2 linked regions of the Schizosaccharomyces pombe genome follow. The protein of the gene in region 1 interacts with the protein of each later gene in a pairwise test. Each region holds a gene or a part of one and is shown in the gene's direction. Other genes may lie near its edges.

Region 1 (10,142 bases):
GCCTCCTGTTCGTGAGAAATAGGTTCATCCAACTGTTCAGAGCCTAGATTAGAAGTTCGGGAAGGAAATGCTTCAGAATTTTCTTGTCCACTAAAAGCACTATCTGTGGATTTAACACTCGAGTCTTCTTCGTAAAATGGAAAAGAATTGTTACCGGTATTTCGATTACGGTTACGAATAGCTTCCCATGCTGACGCTGGCTTTGATCGATCTTCAAAGCCATTGTCTTTAGAGTACATGGCGTCCTCTTTCTCCGTACTCTGTGAATTCGTAAAGGGATCTTGACTAGAAGAGGCACCAGTATTCGGCATACTTCCAGGTAATTGATATTTTGAGTTTTTTGGAGGGAATTCAGAAGATGAAGAAGGAAATCTGCCTTGTCGCATCGTTGTTCTTTGTCGAATAAGGGAGTCTTGTATTTTGCGAAGTATTTCAAAGCCATCATCTCTTTGACGTATAGCCGACAAATTGTATGCCAGAGTAGTAATCTGAGCAACCTATTCATAATTTGTAAGCTTGAGCTTAGTATTACTTAAAACTTACCCCATTTCCAGCAAGACCTCCTATAATTGATGTTGCATACAAGCGGATTGGAGTAACCTTTTTGTTACGAGCTAAAAAATAAGAAAGTTATTTTCAATTGCTTGTTCGAAATCTCATACCTAAGTATAATGGGAGAGAAAACCCGACTAGCATCCCAAAAATCGTATTTCTTTTGACACGGTATTTTGCATGATTTAGAAATTCCTTTTGGTCATCACTGAAATGGTTTTGAGGATCATTTAACATTCGTTCCCAAAAAAAATCCATGATAATAAACGTTGGAAGCGATTCCTGAGGCTACACAATAATGTCAAGAATATGAAACGTGCTTATACGGGTTATGTTAGCGAAATAAATGTAATTAAATTATTTGCGGACTGTACAATTTAACCCAATATATAAAAATTTGAGGCCTTTCTAATGTAAAAATACTACTACTAAAAGGTAATAGTACTCATCACTTGTTGCCTTATGGATAGTTTGGATACTGATGTAAGAGGATGTGAATAAGGAGAATCTCTAGGGATTAGGACCATCTAAATTTCCCAGCTACTACAGTGATACTTGGCATGAATAAGAAATACGTATCTGAATAAAAATTTGACACACAAGATTGTTCTGTTGAAATTTCTTATGAAACTGATAGACTGAATTTTTTTTGGCTGGTAAGCACTTGTGATGAAATATGCAACTTTTTCGAACTACGTTTTACATTCCATCTTTCAATGAAACAGACCTTGGTGGCATCAATTCGTGGTATACGATTGTTTTGAATTTTAATATTGCAAGCATATATGTTCAACAGGAATTTCCCAGTTGTTAAATAAGTCTATATCGTATAATTCTTTGTCATTAACCGTATTTATTCATTTTGAACTAATTTAGCACAGAATTCTATCTCGTAAATTAAACAAGCGCCACTGCATTTTACACAGCTAACGAAAAATACAAGAAGGCAATTGAGAAATAGAGAAATAGATGCAATACAGACTTGGTCTTTTTTTTTAAAAAGTTTTGCCAATTTAGACGGATTTTGTATCTAATATGTAGGAACTACTAGTAGTAGTTACAGCTTATTCATTAGTTAATAATGTCCAGATATCGCTTCTACAAAGGAATGAAATGTTGATAAAATTAGTAAAGAAATACAACGATATAATGGTATTTAACACATCTGGCTTATTGGAATTCGTTAATAAAAATAACGAACGCCAATGAAGTGAAATATGCAAGAGATTTTTTATTACGAGTCAATTAAATATACGCTGTCCTAATCAATTGACACACAAATACCTGAAAACTCGCATTTGGTTGTTACTTTGCCTGCATTGGAAGGATATATTTTAAAAAACCTTGTAGTAAAGAAGAATTGGAACTTTTGATGCAAGATTTACTATTCGGTAGTCACTGGATATCGTTGCTCCTTGGATTTGTTTAGCAATCGATTAATCAGACTGCTTCTCACCTATAGTTTGTATTTTCTTTGATCAATTGAAAAACTACGATTTCCAAGAAAATGTCAAAACGATCCTTAGACCCTAGTGATGATTTTAAGGGTCAAAAACGCTTAGCGATTGATCCAGAATCAACTGCCCTCGAACAAGATCGCCAAATGTTACAACAATTATCAGAACAAAATTCTGAACTCGAGCCTCAAAATGTTGCACCAAATGCAGAAATTCCTTTAGGGTTTGATCTTTCCGGAATTCAATTTAATATGACGCCGGACTTTTATTTACGCATGAATCAAGGCATGGATTACGCTTTCAACCAACCTAATCCTATTGCTACACCTCAGCAACTTCTTCGTACATCTCTTATTCCTACTCTTGGTAACCTTAGTAACATAATTTTGTCAATTCTTGGGAAGCCAGTACAAGAGGCATCTGCCATTGTCACTAATCCAGCCTCCGAAATGGGTATGGCCTTTACCAAAGTAATGAATATGTTTCGTATGGTAAAGGACATTTATACTGAAGAATCTTTTATTTATTCCTCTGCCATTGGTATGAGGACGCCGAGTCAAAGAAGTACGACTAGACGCGCAAATCTTGCTATCTTTCTGGCAGCTGTCTATGGAGCGCTACAAATTGGATTTTTTCATTTGAATGAAAATTTTCTGGAGGTTTTTGCTCCGGACGAATCTAATATCCTCACTAATCAGGGCACTCTTTATATGGAACTCAAAACCCAAGCATATATTTCGGCTATGGCTCAGGCAGAACGTCCCAAGGGAGACATATTAAACGATCTTTTTCCCTCTGACATGGCCCATCGATTTCTTATCCGACGAAATGCTAAGCTGGATGACAAACTTACTTATGTTGAAAAGCAAATCATAGAGAAATGTACGGCTAGAAAAGAAAGATTGGCAAACTTCTCCCCACAGGAAGCTTTAAATGAAGTATATCCATGGGGGAAATTTTTAAGCGAGATTGCTTGTTACATCCATAACAATTACTCGTCTATTTCGGCCATTCCAATTCCTGCTAACTCATTCAAACGACGATCCAAGAAGAACGGATTGAGGTTTAAGGCTGGCGAAGCCGAATCATCCCCTTCAGAATCTGGTTCAGACCTGACCGATAGTCTCGCATTTGGTATACCATCTTCAACTTTTGACGGCTCCTCGGAAACACAAAATGTATCCAGTGTCGTTCTTTATGATCAGGTTCGACATATGACAAATAATAACCTAAATAACAAGCGTACGAGGCGCGTAGCCAATCGTCGATCTTGGACAAAAGAGGAAGAGGAAGCATTGCTTGATGGTCTTGATTTAGTAAAAGGTCCCCGGTGGAGCCAAATTTTGGAGCTTTATGGTCCTGGAGGCAAAAAGAGTGAAGTTTTGAAATATCGCAATCAAGTTCAGTTGAAAGATAAGGCTCGCAATATGAAACTATTTTTTCTCAAAAGTGGTCAGGTGGTCCCCGCAGCATTACAATGTGTTACAGGCGATCTTCGGCGAGATTAAGTAGTATCAGGAGTTTATTTCATTCTTGATTAAGTTTGCGATTTTTTTTTAAATACTAAAACGATTAAGCGTGAGGCATTTTATGTATAAATTATAATTATTATTAATCTATGGGTTTTTTGGTGCTAATACTCGGAGGCTATTCATTACAATTGAACATTCCCGTGTATCTTTATTTACAATTTCGGAGGATGACCTGGCAATAGCTTGTTCCACAATATGCGTAACTCGCTGAAAATCGCTTCGGAATACCCGCAAGAGTATTGGATCACGGCGATCAAGCATTTGCATTTTGCTGCTGATAGAAATTGCCAGCTCTTTGAAAAAATAGATACAAATAGTTGCACCATCAAGGATAAAATTTGGTTGCATTTGAAAATATTCTAATAAATTTGGGTAGTCTGGATTACAAATATTAGCCTTTTGAAGTGACCTTTCCCAAAAGACGCATTGTGCACCAATCTTTGAAATTTGGTACCACCCGTCTTCAAATTTGGACCATATAGTAGAATTTGCCGCTGAAGGATCTGTACTGTTATGTAGGAGTCTTCGTGTAGTGGGGGACAGTTGGAAAATCGAGTCGAATTGTATAATGGCCTTCTGTATACGAGAACTTAAAAGACGAGTTAAGTCCTGTTCTAACAAATATTTGTCTAACATATATAAAACAGAGCAAGCATTTGTAAAACCATTAGAGTTCACACTGAAAGAAAGTTGATCTTCTTGTGATAATAGATAGCTGGATGTTTCTTTTATAATTCTCGATCGATTGGTTATATTAAGTTTTAAGAGTAAAGAAACGGACGATTGTCTTTTCTACAATAATTAGCCAAGAAACAGAAAATATATTTCATACCATTAATGGAAACCGGCTTAATAATTGATCAGACTCTTGTAATAGTAAAGATGCTTGATAATAGCGTGAAAGTCTTGAATTTGTTAGCATACCAAAATCATTGAGCAAAACAATAAGCATACTTTTCATTTTCATTAATCGATCCCTGGAAAAGGGGAAATAACTTTGCTTGTATGCCAAAAAACTCCCCAAGCCAATACAAAGTCATGTATGTTGAATGCAAATTTACAATTGCCTCATGAAGGGGACCCAAATTTTCAGATGGAATGACTACCAGCGAACGAATTCTTTCATAAACCAACATCAATTGTTCTAGTTTTCCCTCGATATCTTGCAAATATGACTGAGCATTCAAAGAACTAGATACATTTTTCGTCAACGTGGTTTCCTCATGCACAATCAAATCGGTAATTTGCCGCTCTACTTCTTTGAGTGCATACCCCAACCTCTTTCTGGCGACTTCTTTGTCTTCGTTAACATCGGAGTCAGCATGAACAGAGATTAACACTCGTTCAGCCTGCGCCTTTGGATCGAAATCTGATTTTTTGTAATCTGAAAAATCATATCGAAACTCCATAACAGGAATTTTAAGCGCTTTAAACGAAATTTTTACAAGCTATTTCATAGATTTTAATGATACTTAACTTTAGTTTATTTGACGATCAATCGTAAAACGCAGAATCGATACCAAATCTTACAACGAATGTTTTGAACAAGTAAAATCCGCAATTGAACAGTGTATTCTAGCACTTCTATTCGAAACACGATAACACTACAACTTTATCCTGCAAGTATACGCTTACTTCGTCTGGTGCAACTAATGTAGTATATGAGAGCGTATACCTTAGACACTTTGACCGACTATTGTAAGTAACATGCTACTCATTCATATTCTAAAGAACAAAGAAAGAGATTTTCAAATAGAAGATTGAAAAACTTATCAATTTGAACGTTGAATTTTATCGAACCACGAAGGCTTTTAAAATTCCAACTGAAATCCGCGGCTCTAAGAGTTAGTATGGTTTCAACATACTCCTCAAGTAAACATTCGTCAGGCAGTTACAGTTTTCAAACAAAGTGACTAAAAATGCAGTAAATGTATATATAAACTACTAAAATGTAATACGAATTCATATCTTTGCTCTCAAATAAAGCAAATTTAAATTTATTGGAGTTAACGAAGAGATTAACTTACAAATTGCTATAGGAAATTGACTAAGAATATACTTGAAAAATATGCTGTAGTTTGTCTAAAAAAAATTTTACTGTGGGTATTTAATTCAAAATTTGAAGTTTCAATAAATCTCGAGAATAACAGTAATAATTTGAATTCCAAAGGAAAGAGTAAATTGAATAAAGTAGTACGCAATATATCTCAAAATTGCTATAGGGTAGCTTTCCTGAAAATAGGGCATCATTTAACGAACTTAACCGCAGACTGACTTTATTGTGAAGCTATAGCTATCACTCACTCTAGATTTTGCAACCCATCAAATAGACAGAATTTAAGAGCCAAGCTTCCCTTGTAAAAGAATTGCAAAATCGCTATGGCATTTTCTTTTGGTATGCTTTGAGATTCATCAGTTATAAGTTGCTAACGACTGTAGGTCAACAAGGGTCGTCAATAAAGGCACCTTCCATTGGCTCAACTGGCGTTTTTGGCCAGTCGAATACCACAAAACCAACTGCACCTTTCGGTTCTGGATCTATTTTTGGGTCCACAAACACTAATGTAGGTGCAGGAGGCCCTACTGGTTCTTCGTCAGCTCCACCGTTTGGAAATTCAATTTTCGGTAAAACACAACAACAGCCGACCACTTCTTTCTCCAATACTACCACCAATGCCCCACAAAGTACTGTATTTGGCCAAAACGCTGCATCAAGAACCGGCAACTCAAATACGCAACCATTATTTTCGTGGAGTACAGTCAACAATCCCACAAAACCAGTAGACGAAACCAATGCTACGATCCCTAGCAGCTTATTGCTGTCTTCAGGTATATCCCCAAATGCGACCGTGAGCAATGCTCAATATGGCCCTGCTCAACCTCCGTCCGTGGAGGAGCAAGTGCAGAAAATCTTGAATGCATGGAATCTCAACCATCCTGATTGTGCTTTTCAGCGGTTCTTTTATAACAAGGTTCCTGTTGAGCAAGCTGCACTATATGTTAAGCCTCCAAATTATAACCAACAAAAATGGGACGAAGCTGTTGCTAATCGACCAAGCAACAGTGTTGTTCCCGTTTTGGCCGTAGGATTCCCCGATGTACAAAAAAGAATTAATATGCAGATTCAACAAGTGAACACGTACCGTATTCGGATGCGTGAAATTGTTGAAACTTTAGGAAGATTAAGTAACAAACACGACCTTGATTTTAGCATCAAACTTGCCGAGGCGAAAAATCGTCACGTCCGTCTGTCTGAAAGAATTTTACGACTTGCAATTAAAGTACATGTTTTACGACATCGTGGTTATGCACTAAAACCTAATGAAGAAGAGCTACGTAAAAAATTAGATGATTTAACAAAATCGCTAAATAATCCTGAAATTTTTGGTCGGCTCAACGAAATATGGGCAAGAATTACTCTTATTTTTGAAGGAGAAAAGATATCTGAAGATCAGCGAAGTAATTTGGCTAAGGGAGTAGTGGATTGGCGAAAAAATTCTGATCAACTAGAAGTCATTACGGACGTCTTAAGGGATCATCAAGTTGGTCTTTCATATGTGGTAAAACTGATGCAAGAAGATTTAGCGACGTTGAACAAGCAATTAACTGAGCACGTTCCTCAATCACAAAAATAGCGGTAATTCCTACTTCACGTTATTTTCTGTATTTAATTAAATTAGAAACGACCAACATGAAAATCATAGTTAGGTTCCTTTTTTTATTTTTCTGGTAACCGAATTTTTTTTAAGAAATTCATCTAATTGGGAGTCAATTGATTGACAAGTGGTCCAAAAGATATTACTGACTTAAAATTACATATAACGGCGCAGCATCGCACAGGAAATCTATGAACTCTCTATACACATTTAGCTACCAGTTCAATCCATGAACGATTTCTATAATAACCATTTTTTAGTGACTTTACATTCAAAATCAAATAATTCAACCCACTCATGTAAAATTTACGACTCGATCAAGAACGGTAAAAATAAATTGTCTGATTATTTACATACAGTCGATCATAAAATTGTATTCGACGTACAATAACCATCCATTTTTATAGCACAAAAGCCAACACTTGGAATAAATGTTTTTATGCTCGCATCTTTTGAAAAAAAGAAATAACAAAAGGAGCTTATATAAAAGTTAGAAAACCAAGTGAAACCATTACAATTAAAAAAGCTTACTTAACAACAAGACAGCGGCAACTGAGGCACCCTTTTTCATTTCCTAATTATCCATTTCGTTAATATGCTATAGATACGAGAGATAATTACATACGCCGACAGCCAAATTATCATACTGCTTGATTTGCTCTTTACTAGGGCGTCCTGCACCAGAAAACATCTTTATAGTACGTTTATTAACGGTTATTCGAGAAAGAGCTTGTGTGTTTGGCAGAAGCTGGAATAAGTTGGAACATTCACCGACACAGAGAATAGCTTGAATGGTACACCTCGCATCGTTAGACATCGTTAATTATATCATGTTGTTTGTCACTATATTGTAAGCTACGCAGTTTGGTATCTGATTTAAGGATACGTAGAGCTGCGGTAAGTTTTCCTTGTGATCTATTATATTACAATACACAGGTTGTATAAGTAGCAACTGGATATAGGTATTGTATTAACTAGGTTATGATGTTACCTATCACTAATATAGCTCATAACTGAACTGAGGAACGAGGTTCAGCAGTAGCTCTATTTATAGTATTCAGATAATATAGATCTTAATAGATTATCATTAAGATCAATCTCCATATCGTATCATACATGGTACGATATATAATTAGAACATGTGACATATAGTGATACGCAAGTAGTGTATCATAGCGTAGTGTAGTATTGCTGACAGTATACATGCATTACCGAAATCTACAGTTTTTGAACAATGGTGGAGGCTACGCTAGTTCTATTTCATTACTTCTACATATTGGCGGCAGTAAACGTTGAAATTTTTTCAGACTCCCAATTCTAATTAAGTTGTCAAATTTCTGATTCTCCAAAGATGTCAGAAGAAGAAAAGGCTGAGCTTGAAAATATGCAAGTTGAATCTGAGGCAAAAACTTCCGAGAATGATCAAACCATTGATACGAAAGTAGACGTTGCTGATGTTACAACTCATGTGGATGAAGATTTAGATAATAAGGAAGAAGCCCTTGATTTCTCTGAAGATGAATTATCGGATTTGGATGAAAATCAATTTGAAAACTTTGACGAATCCAAAATCGGACGTGAAGCTGAGGAACCTACTATTTATAATCTACCTACGTTTAAGAAGAAGCAAGAGCCAAATACGATTGAAGAAAACCTTGAAGTTCCAAGGAAGGTTAGGAAAGAGCAAAAGCCACGTAGACGTCGTGGTAAGCGTTCATCGACTGTTGATGCTCTCAATGATGAATTAAATGAGCTCGGGGAGAATGAAGAAGAAGTTTTGACTGAACAAAAGCAATTGGATCCCACGCTAGCCGCAAAAAAAGAGTTGGATCTTCAAATGGACGCTGTTCTTAAGCCAACTCGAACAAAGAAGCGATCCAATGAAGACAATCTTGAACAGATGGCTGATGATGAAGTCCTTCGTCTACGCGAACAAATGCGCTTGGCTGCACTTCGTGATGCTGAATTGAATTCGGAACAACTACCGGCTACTGAGAAGTTAAAGATGCTTCCACTAGTTGATGCTGTACTTAGAAAGACCCATCTTTACGATACTATACTGGATAATAACGTCCTTGACTCCGTTCGAATGTGGCTTGAACCTTTACCAGATCGTTCGTTACCAGCGTTGAATATCCAACGATCTCTTATGGACATTTTAACAAAATTGCCCATCCAGACAGAACATCTTCGTGAAAGTAAAATAGGTCGTATTGTTTTGTTTTATACTATCTCGAAAAAGCCCGAGCCATTTATTAAGAGAATAGCTGACAACCTTGTTAGCGAATGGAGTCGTCCCATTATAAAGAGAAGTGCTAATTATCGTGATCGTGCTGTTGGTGTAGCCTCCTTTAACCCTGAAGTGTTTCAAACTCGCCGTCGTCGAGACCTTGCTGCTGCTGAAAGTAATGATGATGCCCAAGCTAGCCGTACAGGTCGTACTGTTATTCCCAGATCCATTGATTCAAGATACCAGGTTGCTCCCAGAGTTCGTCTCAATCCTACGGCCATGACTATTGCGGGACGAATGAAGCCGGCTGATACCGAACAAGTGCGAAAATTAAAGGCCAAGATGAAGGCGATTCGTAGTAAATCATCTAAAAAGAGTGGTGTTAGTATTGAAGGTCGTGGACTTTAATCATTAAAACAGGCATCACAATAATATATAATGAGTCCATTGAAAATTTTTCAATGCTCTTTCATTAGGGTCGAATTATTCATTGGGTTAATGTTACAATTTTATTTTTTCACTGTTTGTATGATGAACGCTTGTTTCCGTACCTTCTACTTATGACTTATGAGATTCATTATTAGAATTCACTTAAAAGGGATCCTTATTATTTTTGATTGTATATAATTCTCCATAAATAAAACTCTAATTTTTATCCTCACTCCTTCATTTTAACTATTTCAATTAATTTCAATCTCTACTTTAACATTCTACT
Region 2 (11,328 bases), on another chromosome or scaffold:
TAAAGTTCTCTTCTTCACTCAGTTGATTTTTCGCGATTCCCTTTGAAATTTTGTGAAATATTGTAGTTTGAAATTTATACTCGAAATTGGCTTGTCTGGAGGTTCCAGTATAAAGAGAGTATGGATTTGGAGGAGCTTCAAAAGATTATTCAAGAAGAGCAAATTCGCTGTGAGAGAGAAATCGCAGAGGCTGCAGAAGCACGTAATTCTTCTAATAGTCTTATTGTAGTTGATGAATATTCCAAGGAAAGCGAAGATGTTCTAGAAAATGGGTTAGAACACGTTCAGTCTAATGAATTCACCGAATCTGAAGATTATAAATCCATTGAGCGCTCTTTGGCTGTCACAGAAGCTGTTATGGCTCGCTTTGAAAAAGAAATGGGTTCATTACGGGATCAAATGAATTTCTTTCATCAAATACTCGATAATGACAACCTCGATGGTTTCCTTACTGGATCCAGCAAACCTTGCTAGATTTATTTGCGAATGGGAATGACTATAGAATTAGCTCAATCCTGTATGCTTCCTGCTACTCTTTCATATAGGTTTAAAGAATCCTTTCGTTTGAAGAGACATGGCAAGTTACGTTTTTTATTCCTTCCTACCATCCTTTGTACACTTAGCATCAAACTCATTAAAATGAACCAATCCACTTGGTCTGTAAACCTAACAAGGCTTGTGTGAAGCTTTAAATAACGTAAAAGAGAAAGAATAACTTAAAAAAATGCAGCTAGAAAAACAGAGAAGCAAGAAATGGATACCTTCTAGTTTACTATTTTGCGCAACTAGATACTCTGTTGCTGCTATTTGAAGAGGCAGTAAGCACGCATAGTTGTTCTTTATTTTTGCATTTTTTTAATCTCATTTTGTAATGAAATAAAGATAATTAAATGGTTTTCTTCTCTTTCACACGTGTCTATGCCTCAGCTTCCATTCCGTGGCATTTTTTTGACGGGTCGACTGCCGACAATACTGAGCAACAAATCCAGGGTGAAAGCTGCTTACTATTCAACTTTAAACGAATCTATAACCCACCGTTTAGATATTGATAGAATTTGGTTATCCAGCTATCAGTTACATTTGCAGTTTATCGCCTATCTCTTCATACTTAAATTTGCATAAGGTTGTTATCTCAACTATCGTTCTGTGGAGAATAATCCAGATCTGAAAGTTACTTGTTTACATTTTCTGTTGAATTACTAAAAATTTTTTTTTGCTACATTCACTGTCTTAGAGGCGCTGTTCCATCCTATTTTACTTATAAACTTACTGTTTTCAAGGCAAAACTACATTTCGTGTGTCGTTGCTGTCTGTACATTAAATCTACCCGGGGGAAGGAGTTGAATGGAAAAGGAGGCCATGCTCCACAATAGTTAAATAGCTGTGTTGAAAATCCATTTAACTGAAAGGCAAACTCGTACATTGTTGTGACGATGCCGGTCTTTCTCATCTATTCCCATCTCAAAAAAGTAACAACCTTCTGTGAACGAATTTTTTTTCCCGAGTCATCCGTTACAGCTTCGGATAGAAAAACCATCACTACCTTGTAGTTAAAAAACATTTATTTAAAAAAGAAATTATCCGCTATCTACCTGGTTTTTTTTACTCGTGCTGGAAGTCGCCTCTGTGTGCCCCCGTTATTTACTACTGACATATATAGCGATTTTCGGTGAGCGTCAAACACAACTTCTTCCCCAAACAGCGCCATTGTCAATTTCACGAATTTTTGAATGTTTGGGATTGTGGAAGTCGACATCGTTTCTTGAGATTATACTACTTGTAAAAGTGCTGTTTACATCTAGTCACTCGAAGTTTTGATTCGTTTGAGAAATTGCTGAAGATTATATCTCGATCTTGACTTAAATTCAAGAGAAAATAGTGTTTTTTTTTAATAAATGCTAGAATATTTATCCATTTCCCTTGGATATTTTACTTTTTTTTCTTTTTGAAAATATAGATCAGATCATTGATTTTCTGTTTTAAGAGTTCCCCTTTTACGTAACAACTTCCTTTTTGGTTAAATCATATTAAGTATTTTTAACCATCACTGATTCTAGTGTCTGAATCAATTACTAATAGTCTTATTACTGTGCTTTGCTTCTTTGTTGACCAAAAAGTTTTATAACTCAGAATCTTTAGGACCTTTCCAATCCAATTTAACATTTAATCATTTTTAAATCCCTCTCTTAATTTCAAAGGTATAAAAAAGAAAGAAAAAATTTTTTCTAAAAAATTCGTTGCCATGTCGTCAGTGAATTCAATTCCCACAGCAACTTCTACTGTTTATATTTCAGTACTGCCAGCTACAGCTACACCTAGTGGTGGTAGTGGTGGAAATGTTTTGCACGAAGATCTTAATAAATTTTATGATTATGGAAACACTAGTTGGATTTTAGCTTGTACTCCATTGTGTCTTATTATGGTGCCTGGTGTGGCTTTTTTCTACTCTGGCTTAGCAAGAAGGAAAAATACATTGGCTCTTATCATGCTCTCTATGCTTGGTTTATGTGTTAGTTTTTTCCAATGGTATTTCTGGGGTTATTCTCTTGCTTTTTCTCAAACTGGAACCTCTGGTTATATTGGCAATCTTCGTCATTTTGCCTTTATTCGCACACTTGCCGATTACTCTCCTGGTAGCAATAATATTCCCGAGCTTGTATTTGCAAATTTTCAAGGAATGTTCGCCGCAATTACTGTAGCCCTCTTCACTGGTGCCGCCGCTGAAAGAGGTCGTATTGGTCCAATGCTCATCATCACATTTGTGTGGCTCACTGTCGTTTATTGTCCCATAGCGTGTTGGATTTGGAATCCAAATGGTTGGGCTTTTAAATTTGGTGTATACGATTTCGCTGGCGGAGGACCTGTAGAAGTTGGATCAGGATTTGCAGCTTTGGCGTATACGGTTTGTTTAGGACGTCGATCCAAATTTGTTGAGGAACAATTTCGCCCTCATTCTGTGCTCAATGTTGTATTGGGAACATCTCTGCTATGGTTTGGTTGGCTTGGTTTCAACGGTGGTAGTGCTTACGGCTCCAATCTGCGAGCCGCTATGGCAATCACCAACACAAACTTAGCAGGTGCTGTAGCTGGTTTAGTATGGGTTATTTACGACTACATTTTTCGCACTAGGAAATGGTCAACCATAGGTTTTTGTTCCGGGGTTGTTGCCGGTTTGGTGGCTGCAACGCCTTGTGCTGGTTTTGTGAGTCCTCATGCCTCTTTGGCAATTGGTGCTATTACTGGCTTATGTTGCAATTGGGCCATTAAGTTAAAGTCACATATGCGCATTGATGATGCGATGGATATTTTCGCTATCCACGGTGTTGCGGGTTTTGTGGGTACCTTTTTGAATGGTTTGTTTGCCGTTGATTATATCGCAGCAATGGATGGTATTTATGTTGGTGAAAACAAAATCAGAGGTGGTTGGTTTGATCACCATTGGCGCCAACTAGGCTTGCAAATGGCCTATATTTGTGCTGTTGGTGCATACGACTTTGTTGTCACGTTTATCATTTTATTCATTACGGACAAAATTCCCTACCTTCAACTTCGAGTGAGCCCTGATGCTGAAGAAATTGGTGTGGATGCTGATCAAATAGGTGAATACGCGTTTGATTATATTGAAGAACGTCGTGAATATAAGCATTGGAAGATTTCCCCTGCCGGTGTACCTGAAGAAATCATTATTTCCAATGGCGTTGCTCAACCTACTGGAAATGTGGCTGCTCCCGGCAAGATTCTAGAATCAACAAACCCATTGGAGCTTGGACTTACGATCTAAATCTTTTTGCATCGTACAAAGTTATTTGGGTTTAAAAAAAAAAAGTAAAAGGTTGAATTGGAGAAAAGATTTTAAGTTAATAAAAGAAATGAAAATTTTGGTAGATTGGTTTATGATTGTTTAAAGAAAAAAAGAAAATAGCACAACTACAAGGTCGCTGTTTGGGAAGTTTTGAACAAAATTACAAAGACTAGAAATTTCTTGAAAGATTTGCTTGTTTTTACTTCTAAAGAGGTCAGAATCTTAAATTATAATTTTAAGGTTTTTTTTTTGTTAACAGCATTTAAAATGAATTCGGTTTAAAGGCAAGACTAATAATTGTAATGAAAATATTTTTATGCGAATTTGGTTTGTAATTTGTGTATCCAAATATGAAGAGAATTAATTATCTTATAAGCCAAAAGATTTAAAATGAGCAAGTCAATCTTTGTTTCCAGTCATAATAAGTTTGTATTTTGTATAATCATCATTCACCATGAAACCAATGAATAGGTACAAAAAAGTACGTCGAATTAGGCTTTAATAACTATTTACTGTTTACGAATTTACCGGAAGTGAAAACCTCACTACTGCATCGAAACAAAAAATAAAAAGTAAACTCCCACTGCGAGACTCGAACTCGCAACCTTCCGGTTAAAAGCCGGACGCTCTAAGCCGATTGAGCTAAACGGGACTTGGTTGAATGGGGTTAAACTTAGTAGTTTATATCTAATTACTTTTAGAACGTATTTTTAATGAGAATATTGAATATGAAATTTCTATATAAACTTGGCGATTGAAATTGATAATTAGCGAATCTCTTGTATCCATATATGTATATTTTATATGTATTTAAATAATATTCAGTTTTGAATAAAGAAGAGTCTTTGAGTCTTAAATTAGGCAATAGATGATGAGTTCCTATGAATTTTTTTAATTTTTTAATAAAAATAACAAATCAAATTAAAGTAAAGGTTAAAAAAATATAAAATTCAAGAAAGAAACATGTTGAGTTATTCTACTCATTATTACAAAAATAATATGTAATGTCTGAACCATCATTCCGCTTTACTAAATGTTTTATTTATTTTATTGCATTACTGTTAAGATGTCAATTTATATATATATTCAATAAAACTGTAAGAGGGTTTGAAGGGCCAGTAAAATTAGCAGTCTATAGTAAGATATATAATTTATAATTTTTATGAACTTTGGTACTCTTGTTTCAGTAAATTGTGTGAATTTATTTATAGTGCTAATAAGATAAATTCGATGAGGATAATTTCTTACAAGTGCCAAACAGTTGAAGTAATAACTTTATTCATAGTATGGATTTTTTTTTTCTACTTCTCTTTCATTTTTGACCTACATATTCCATTTCTACTTTCTCTACCGCCATTGGATTCGCTCATCCCTCTAGTACTTACGTTGCTTTTTCCTTCCTTCTTCCACACACCAGTGACAAAAAAGCTTGTATATTCAATTGTCTCTTGATTTTTATCAAATACAAGCTGAGATTAAAAGAGCTGGACATTTACTACAAATTTTAGTTGTTTGCTTAATTCCCATTGGTTTTTGTTTTGTAAAAGTACGTGCGGGAATCATACTCTTATTGAACTTCTTATACCTTACACGTAGCGTCGATTGAAAAGATTTTATTTCTCAACTCATCTAAAAATTGCTTTCTTTTTTAAGGCCTTCATCTGGATATATCATTTATCTCCGTAAAGCCACCTTTTTTAACCGCTTTTACGTTTGGGAGATCTGAACCCTTTACCTCATTATTTTAATTCCTTAAAGTATTAAAGTTCACTAGCTTTTCTTCTAATTGTTGGCTTTTTTCGTTTTATGACTGATAATAATTCAAAGAGCAAAGATTCTTCACAAAAAATTCCAAATGATTCGTTAACTCCCACTATTTCGAAAGGTTTAAGAAAAGATGTTTTTTATTGGACTAAAGCCATAGCTTATACAACGTGGAATTTCTTCGATTCTAGTCCAGTTACACCTCAAAGAAATCCCATATCTCTGTTCGTGCGTGGCCTTTCTCATCCTTTTTTACGCCATCGTTTATCCAAATCCCAATTTAATGAATGGTTTTTATCACATAACGGTGTTGATCCAGTTCAAGCTCAAACATTGCCCGATCCTCTTTTGTTTGATATTCCGGACCATCAAGAAACGTCTTATAGTTTGCTTGAAGGTTACTCAGTCACTGCTCACGATCATTCCGACACTTCACCTTTGCCGATAACAAGCTCCAACCAAAAGGAAGGCAAAAAAAATGTATCATCGATTGATGTGTCAATGGTTTCCGACTCTTCTGAATTTAAGCCCGATAGCTTACAACACGAAAAATTGGTGAAGAAATGCAATCAACTTCGTCTTCAAAAGCTCATTAATTCTAGCGAACTTGCACAGATTGATTTGGAGTTGTCCAAACTCTATTCTCGAAGAAGGCAAGTTCTTGAACGCCTTAGCAAGATCGAGGAACAGAATTTAAAGTATACTTCCAAGCTGGCTTCTGTTGAGAAACTGATGTTAGATTCGGATGCTCAAGATTTGTATAGCTCATATTCTCATGATTTAATTCCTTCACAAATTGAAGCGGGTAAAAATGGAGCTAACCCCGATGTTTTTGATGATACACACGACAAGTATACAGATAATTTATCTGCTAGGGCTATCTCTCCAAGAGCTCCAAGGCCATCTACGGCTAGTGAAGTGGTATCAGATTACTTTGAACAGAATTCCGCTTTTTCTAAAGCACCAGAGAATACTGAATCATCTGTGAATCAAAATTATATAGTTGGAAATCTCGTAAAGCAGTTTCAAGCTCATTCTGAATATATTACGAGTCTTGATTTTTCCCATCCTTTTGGAACTTTAGCTACGGCCTCGACTGACAAAACTGTGAAAGTTTGGGATATGGCGGGTGTTGTATACCTGGGTTCATTGAAAGGTCATTCTGATTATGTTTCTTGTCTGGCGATTCAAGACTCCTTTATTGCTACTGGCTCTATGGATACAACCGTGCGGTTATGGAATTTAGATAATGATGTACTTCATAAGGATAATCCTGTTGAAGAGAGCCTTAATTCTCCTCCCGATCAACCTGTTGACAATGCCACAAATGTTTTAACATCTCACACTGCCCCTGTCACTGCATTAGCATTATCTAGTGATGATGTGCTTATAACCGGTGCCGATGATAAAACTGTTCGACAGTGGGATATCGTTACGGGGCGTTGTATTCAAACTTTGGACTTTGTGTGGGCGGAAACTCATGATACATCTACTAGTCAAATTTTGGTCAGTGACACTTACAAACAAGAACCTTTCATCAGAGCTTTAGACTGCTTAGATGCTGCTGTGGCTAGTGGGACTGTCGATGGACTTATTCGCATCTGGGATTTGCGAATCGGTCTTCCTGTGAGAAGTTTCATTGGGCACACAGCTCCTATTTCTTCTTTGCAATTCGATTCCAACCATTTGTATTCCGGAAGCTATGACAATTCTGTTAGAATATGGGATTTACGAAGTGGCTCGCCAATTAATATTATACCTATGGAGAAAAAAGTGAATTCCTTAAGACTGTATCAAGGTCGTCTTGCTGTAGCATCTGATGAACCAAATGTTAGGATATTTGATACTGTATCTAATCGGAACTGGATTTGTTCAATTCCTTCTCACTCTGATTCCATAGCAGCCGAACCTAACTCAGTACCTACTTCTGTTCAATATAAAGATCGCTTTTTGGTGGATGGAAAGTCTGATGGATCTGTTAGCGTTTTTTCTGCTTAATTTGTATTTTTTATCCACACCTTTATTTATTATACTCTCGTTATTGTGTTGAATCTGGATAACGTTAATTTTAAAATTTTATGTCTTTATGCTTTGGTTAATGGGTATTAACTTCTGTTTGGTTTTTTTATTTATTTATGGACAAATAAAAAGGAACGAGACATTGCGAATAAAAAACTGTGATGTTAATTTTGTTCAAAATATTTAAAAAAATTCTCAAAGCAAATTGTTTGATCACCACCTCCCTTCTGCTTCTTATACTGTAGGTTTAAAATTTAGTAAATAAAAATCTTTTCTAGTTTACATTTTTTTGGTTTTACTAGTATGAAGTACGCAACCTCATTCTGATCTGAGATGTTGTATTTCATTTTGTTGATCCAGTTTACAAAACACGCTCAGCGTGTTTAATGTCAACTACACATAATAAGTATTGAAGAATCTTTTTGAAATTAGCAATTTGAACTCACACAGTGAGTAAAATATGGAAATAACCAAGCTCTTTTTATATTTCAGATTAACTGAATGGTCATTTTATTTTTGAAGCATAAATAGTCATAAATGCTAAAATTTCAAAATTTTACATCTGCAATATATATAGAGAATTAAACAACTGCGTTCATCTGTCGTCAACAGTCTAACAATGTCAGAAAACTGGTAGCGTTACTTTTTAAAACATCGACATAACTTTTAGCATTTTGTATGAGGCTATTTTAAAAACTAAGTAGAGAACATGATAGGTCCAAGCATTCCAAATCACAAAGAATATATTTAACATGTAAGAGTGTTAATACCAAAAAAGTATGTACTGAGGGCAAAAGATAATAAAGAAGTCATAAGTCATAACAAGATAAAATAAGAAAGTTATAAGAAAAGATGTGTATAATTAATGCTTATTCTCAAGCTTTTTCCAAGTGTTGAAAGCACGTACAGCGTTATAGGCAGTACGGAACGTTTTTCTTGCATTGAAATTTTCCCGGACGTTTGGAAGCAAATTGGAGGTTGCGGGACGCTTTTCAGACAGGAAGGGGTGCTTCAACGCATCAGCAGCAGTTAAACGTTTCGAAGGGTCGTTTTCCAAACATTTTTTAATAAAGTCCTTGGCCGTTTCTGAAATGCCAGACCAGCAAGGATCGTTAAAAGTGTACTCGTTAGCTAAAATTGCTTCTATAACTTCAACCTGAGAAGGTCGAGCAAATGGAGTATAACCACTGAGTAAAAAATAAGTTATAACGCCAATAGCCCACATATCTCTATAAACAGTATTAGTCAAGATACATAACTTCTGAATTAAAATGGTAGTTGATCAACTTACACAGGTTTTCCATATCCGGTTCGACGAAAGACTTCGGGTGCCATGTACTCTGGTGTCCCACATGCCGTCATGAGCATATAGTATTGAGAATCCTCATAAAAGTGGGACAATCCAAAATCGGCAATTAACAAATCTGAATTCGGATCTTTAGAGCGATAAAGTAAATTTTCTGGCTTCAAATCTCGATGTACAATTCCATTGTCATGCAAGTACTTAACTGCTGATGTGGTAGTACGCATTAAAGCAGCAGCATCGGCCTCATAAAATGAACCTTTGGCACATATTCTATCAAAAAGTTCACCACCGGTGGCCAGTTCAGTGATTAAGTACACTGTTTCAAGGGTTAGTGAACAAAACACATCACAATAACATTTGATTCATCAAATCGAAATCGGAGACATACGATTATTCACAGTTTCAAAAAAATCAACCAAGTGTAAGATATTAGGATGTTCATAAGAAACACGTTTTAGAATTGCAATTTCATTCTTCACCTATACCACCAAAAACATGTTAGTAAACGTAAATAAGGATGCTGTAAGTACTTAAGTCTTTACTTACAAAGTCTTGTTTCTTCTCCATCATCTTTTTATTCATAATCTTAGCCGCATACATTCTATGAAAATTTGGTCAGCAAACAACTCGAATTTAAAATATACTTACTTGTTAGTTTCGATATGAACGGCTTCACGAACCGTCGCATATGTTCCGCCTCCCAAAACCCGACCGACACGATATTTGCAAGGTAATAGTTGTTTCTGATCCACCGTAGCCTTTGGAGCACCGTCTTTCAAGGCCGAGGTGTTTGGTTTGTATGTTTGCTGCATAGCTGTAAAGAATCAATAGATGAATTATTCCAATGCCAACGAAGGTAAACGTAAAAGGTTTCTCTTAATGTAAATTATTGTATTGTTAGATGGTGCCATAAACAATTCTGTACTACAGAATTCTTTTATGAAACCAAAAATGTAAAGGTATGTAAATGAAAAAAATCCCGTAGAAACAATAAAGAAAATATTATTTGCGCGAAGCAGGCTGTTGAGTTAAACGGTGGTTCAATAACAGAATGATCTAAGCAGCGCAATGACTGTCCACCAACTTATGACAATAAGTGCTTAGCCTCAACTTGTAAATATGGAAAAATTTGGAAAAGGTATATTGAAATCCTCGGATTTAACAGGATATTGATATTGAATGTACCCGAATAGTATTGATGAAGATAACAAGAAAACCAGCGTCTGATAAATACCGTCCAACTGATTTGCAATTGCAAAACCAGTAGTCTGCAGTATAGTCATAAATCCTGGTAATTCCCAATCGGTTCAGTAATTTCCGTACCTATTTTCCTCTTCTAAGAGAAAACAAGATCAGAAAGATCAAAATTACAATTAGCGTATTGAAACCACCAAACACTGTAACAATGCAACACAATTATTTAAAGAATTGAATTTAATTATACAATCCTTAAAAAATCGCAGTTTTATGAGCAATTGGCAAAACGCGAACTGCTTGAAATTTCGCTGATATTACCAGCTCATGAGAGTTAAGTAGATATAACAAGCCATCATGGCGAATATTGGTCACTAACGTATACCGTAATAATGCGCTATCCCATGCATTTTAGTTTGTTTAAATACAGTAAGCGTATTAACAACATAGAACAGAATACGAAAAGGTAACCACGTAACAAAGATTCATACTGTAACAAAAATTGTGAAAAACAGACTGAGTGTAAATTGAGCTAATAAAATCGATTTTGAATGATTACTTTTATAATCTTTTCCATCTTGGAAGAGGTATTTAGTTATTTGAGAAAGAACCGAACTACCTTCTGAAAGGAATACCATACATTTTACAATAGCAGTGAGTATGGTATGTTAATTTCTCATATGCTTCTTGTATGATAGTTAGTCGAAATGTATTGGAGATAATGTTGAAGAAGTAAATAGTAAAAAATGCGCATGCATGCTTGACTCCATTTGTTCTACAGTACTTTACCCTTGCTATGATATAAATTCAAAGTATCGGTTTAAACAGACGAAACCAATAAGGGTTTAAACTCACATGGGTTTTTGAAGGAAGATGAGTCTACAATGTAAACTATTCAACTCTTAAATAACACTTTTTGATAAATCGCGATATAGCCAAAAACTAGAAGAACCCTAAGTAACTTCTTCTTATTAAGGTATAAAACAAGTTTTCTACATTGCGAATAACGAATAGAGATGAATGCATTAATTCTAACATTGAAAATAATATAGTCGATCCTTTGGATTCCAAATAAATTATGAAAACCATTTAAATCATTAATTAAAAATAAATTATGAGATGGATGCAATAAAAACCTGAAATTAATCAATAACCTTGAACCATCTTTGTAGGTGCCTTCCCTAAAAAGAAATCTATTAATGGAAAATTGCTCAACAGCACTAACGGAATTAAACCTGCAAGC

The links.
Region 2: the proteins of nup44 (region 1) and mdv1 interact in a two-hybrid assay, tested with the Schizosaccharomyces pombe proteins (2 studies listed by BioGRID).

What each region holds. Positions count from the first base shown.
Region 1 is NC_003423.3:2,372,115-2,382,256, forward strand, and holds nup44 (nucleoporin Nup44), read left to right. Parts: upstream 1-5,848; 5' UTR 5,849-5,920; coding exon 5,921-5,936; intron 5,937-5,980; coding exon 5,981-7,176; 3' UTR 7,177-7,550; downstream 7,551-10,142. Other genes in the region: SPOM_SPBC19G7.18C (uncharacterized protein), read right to left, coding at 1-497, 544-614, 663-810; tbf1 (DNA-binding factor Trf1), read left to right, coding at 2,060-3,517; COG complex subunit Cog5, read right to left, coding at 3,626-4,333, 4,374-4,446, 4,496-4,950; TOM complex subunit Tom5, read right to left, coding at 7,635-7,675, 7,729-7,771, 7,823-7,888; transcription elongation factor complex subunit Iws1, read left to right, coding at 8,549-9,835. UniProt on the Schizosaccharomyces pombe protein: Functions as a component of the nuclear pore complex (NPC).
Region 2 is NC_003424.3:1,729,385-1,740,712, forward strand, and holds mdv1 (CCR4-Not complex subunit Caf4/Mdv1), read left to right. Parts: upstream 1-5,210; 5' UTR 5,211-5,608; coding exon 5,609-7,564; 3' UTR 7,565-7,923; downstream 7,924-11,328. Other genes in the region: SPOM_SPAC664.13 (uncharacterized protein), read left to right, coding at 121-474; plasma membrane ammonium transmembrane transporter Amt2, read left to right, coding at 2,243-3,781; calcium/calmodulin-dependent protein kinase Cmk1, read right to left, coding at 8,448-8,814, 8,877-9,207, 9,280-9,370, 9,438-9,492, 9,540-9,703; potassium ion/proton antiporter Kha1, read right to left, coding at 11,232-11,328.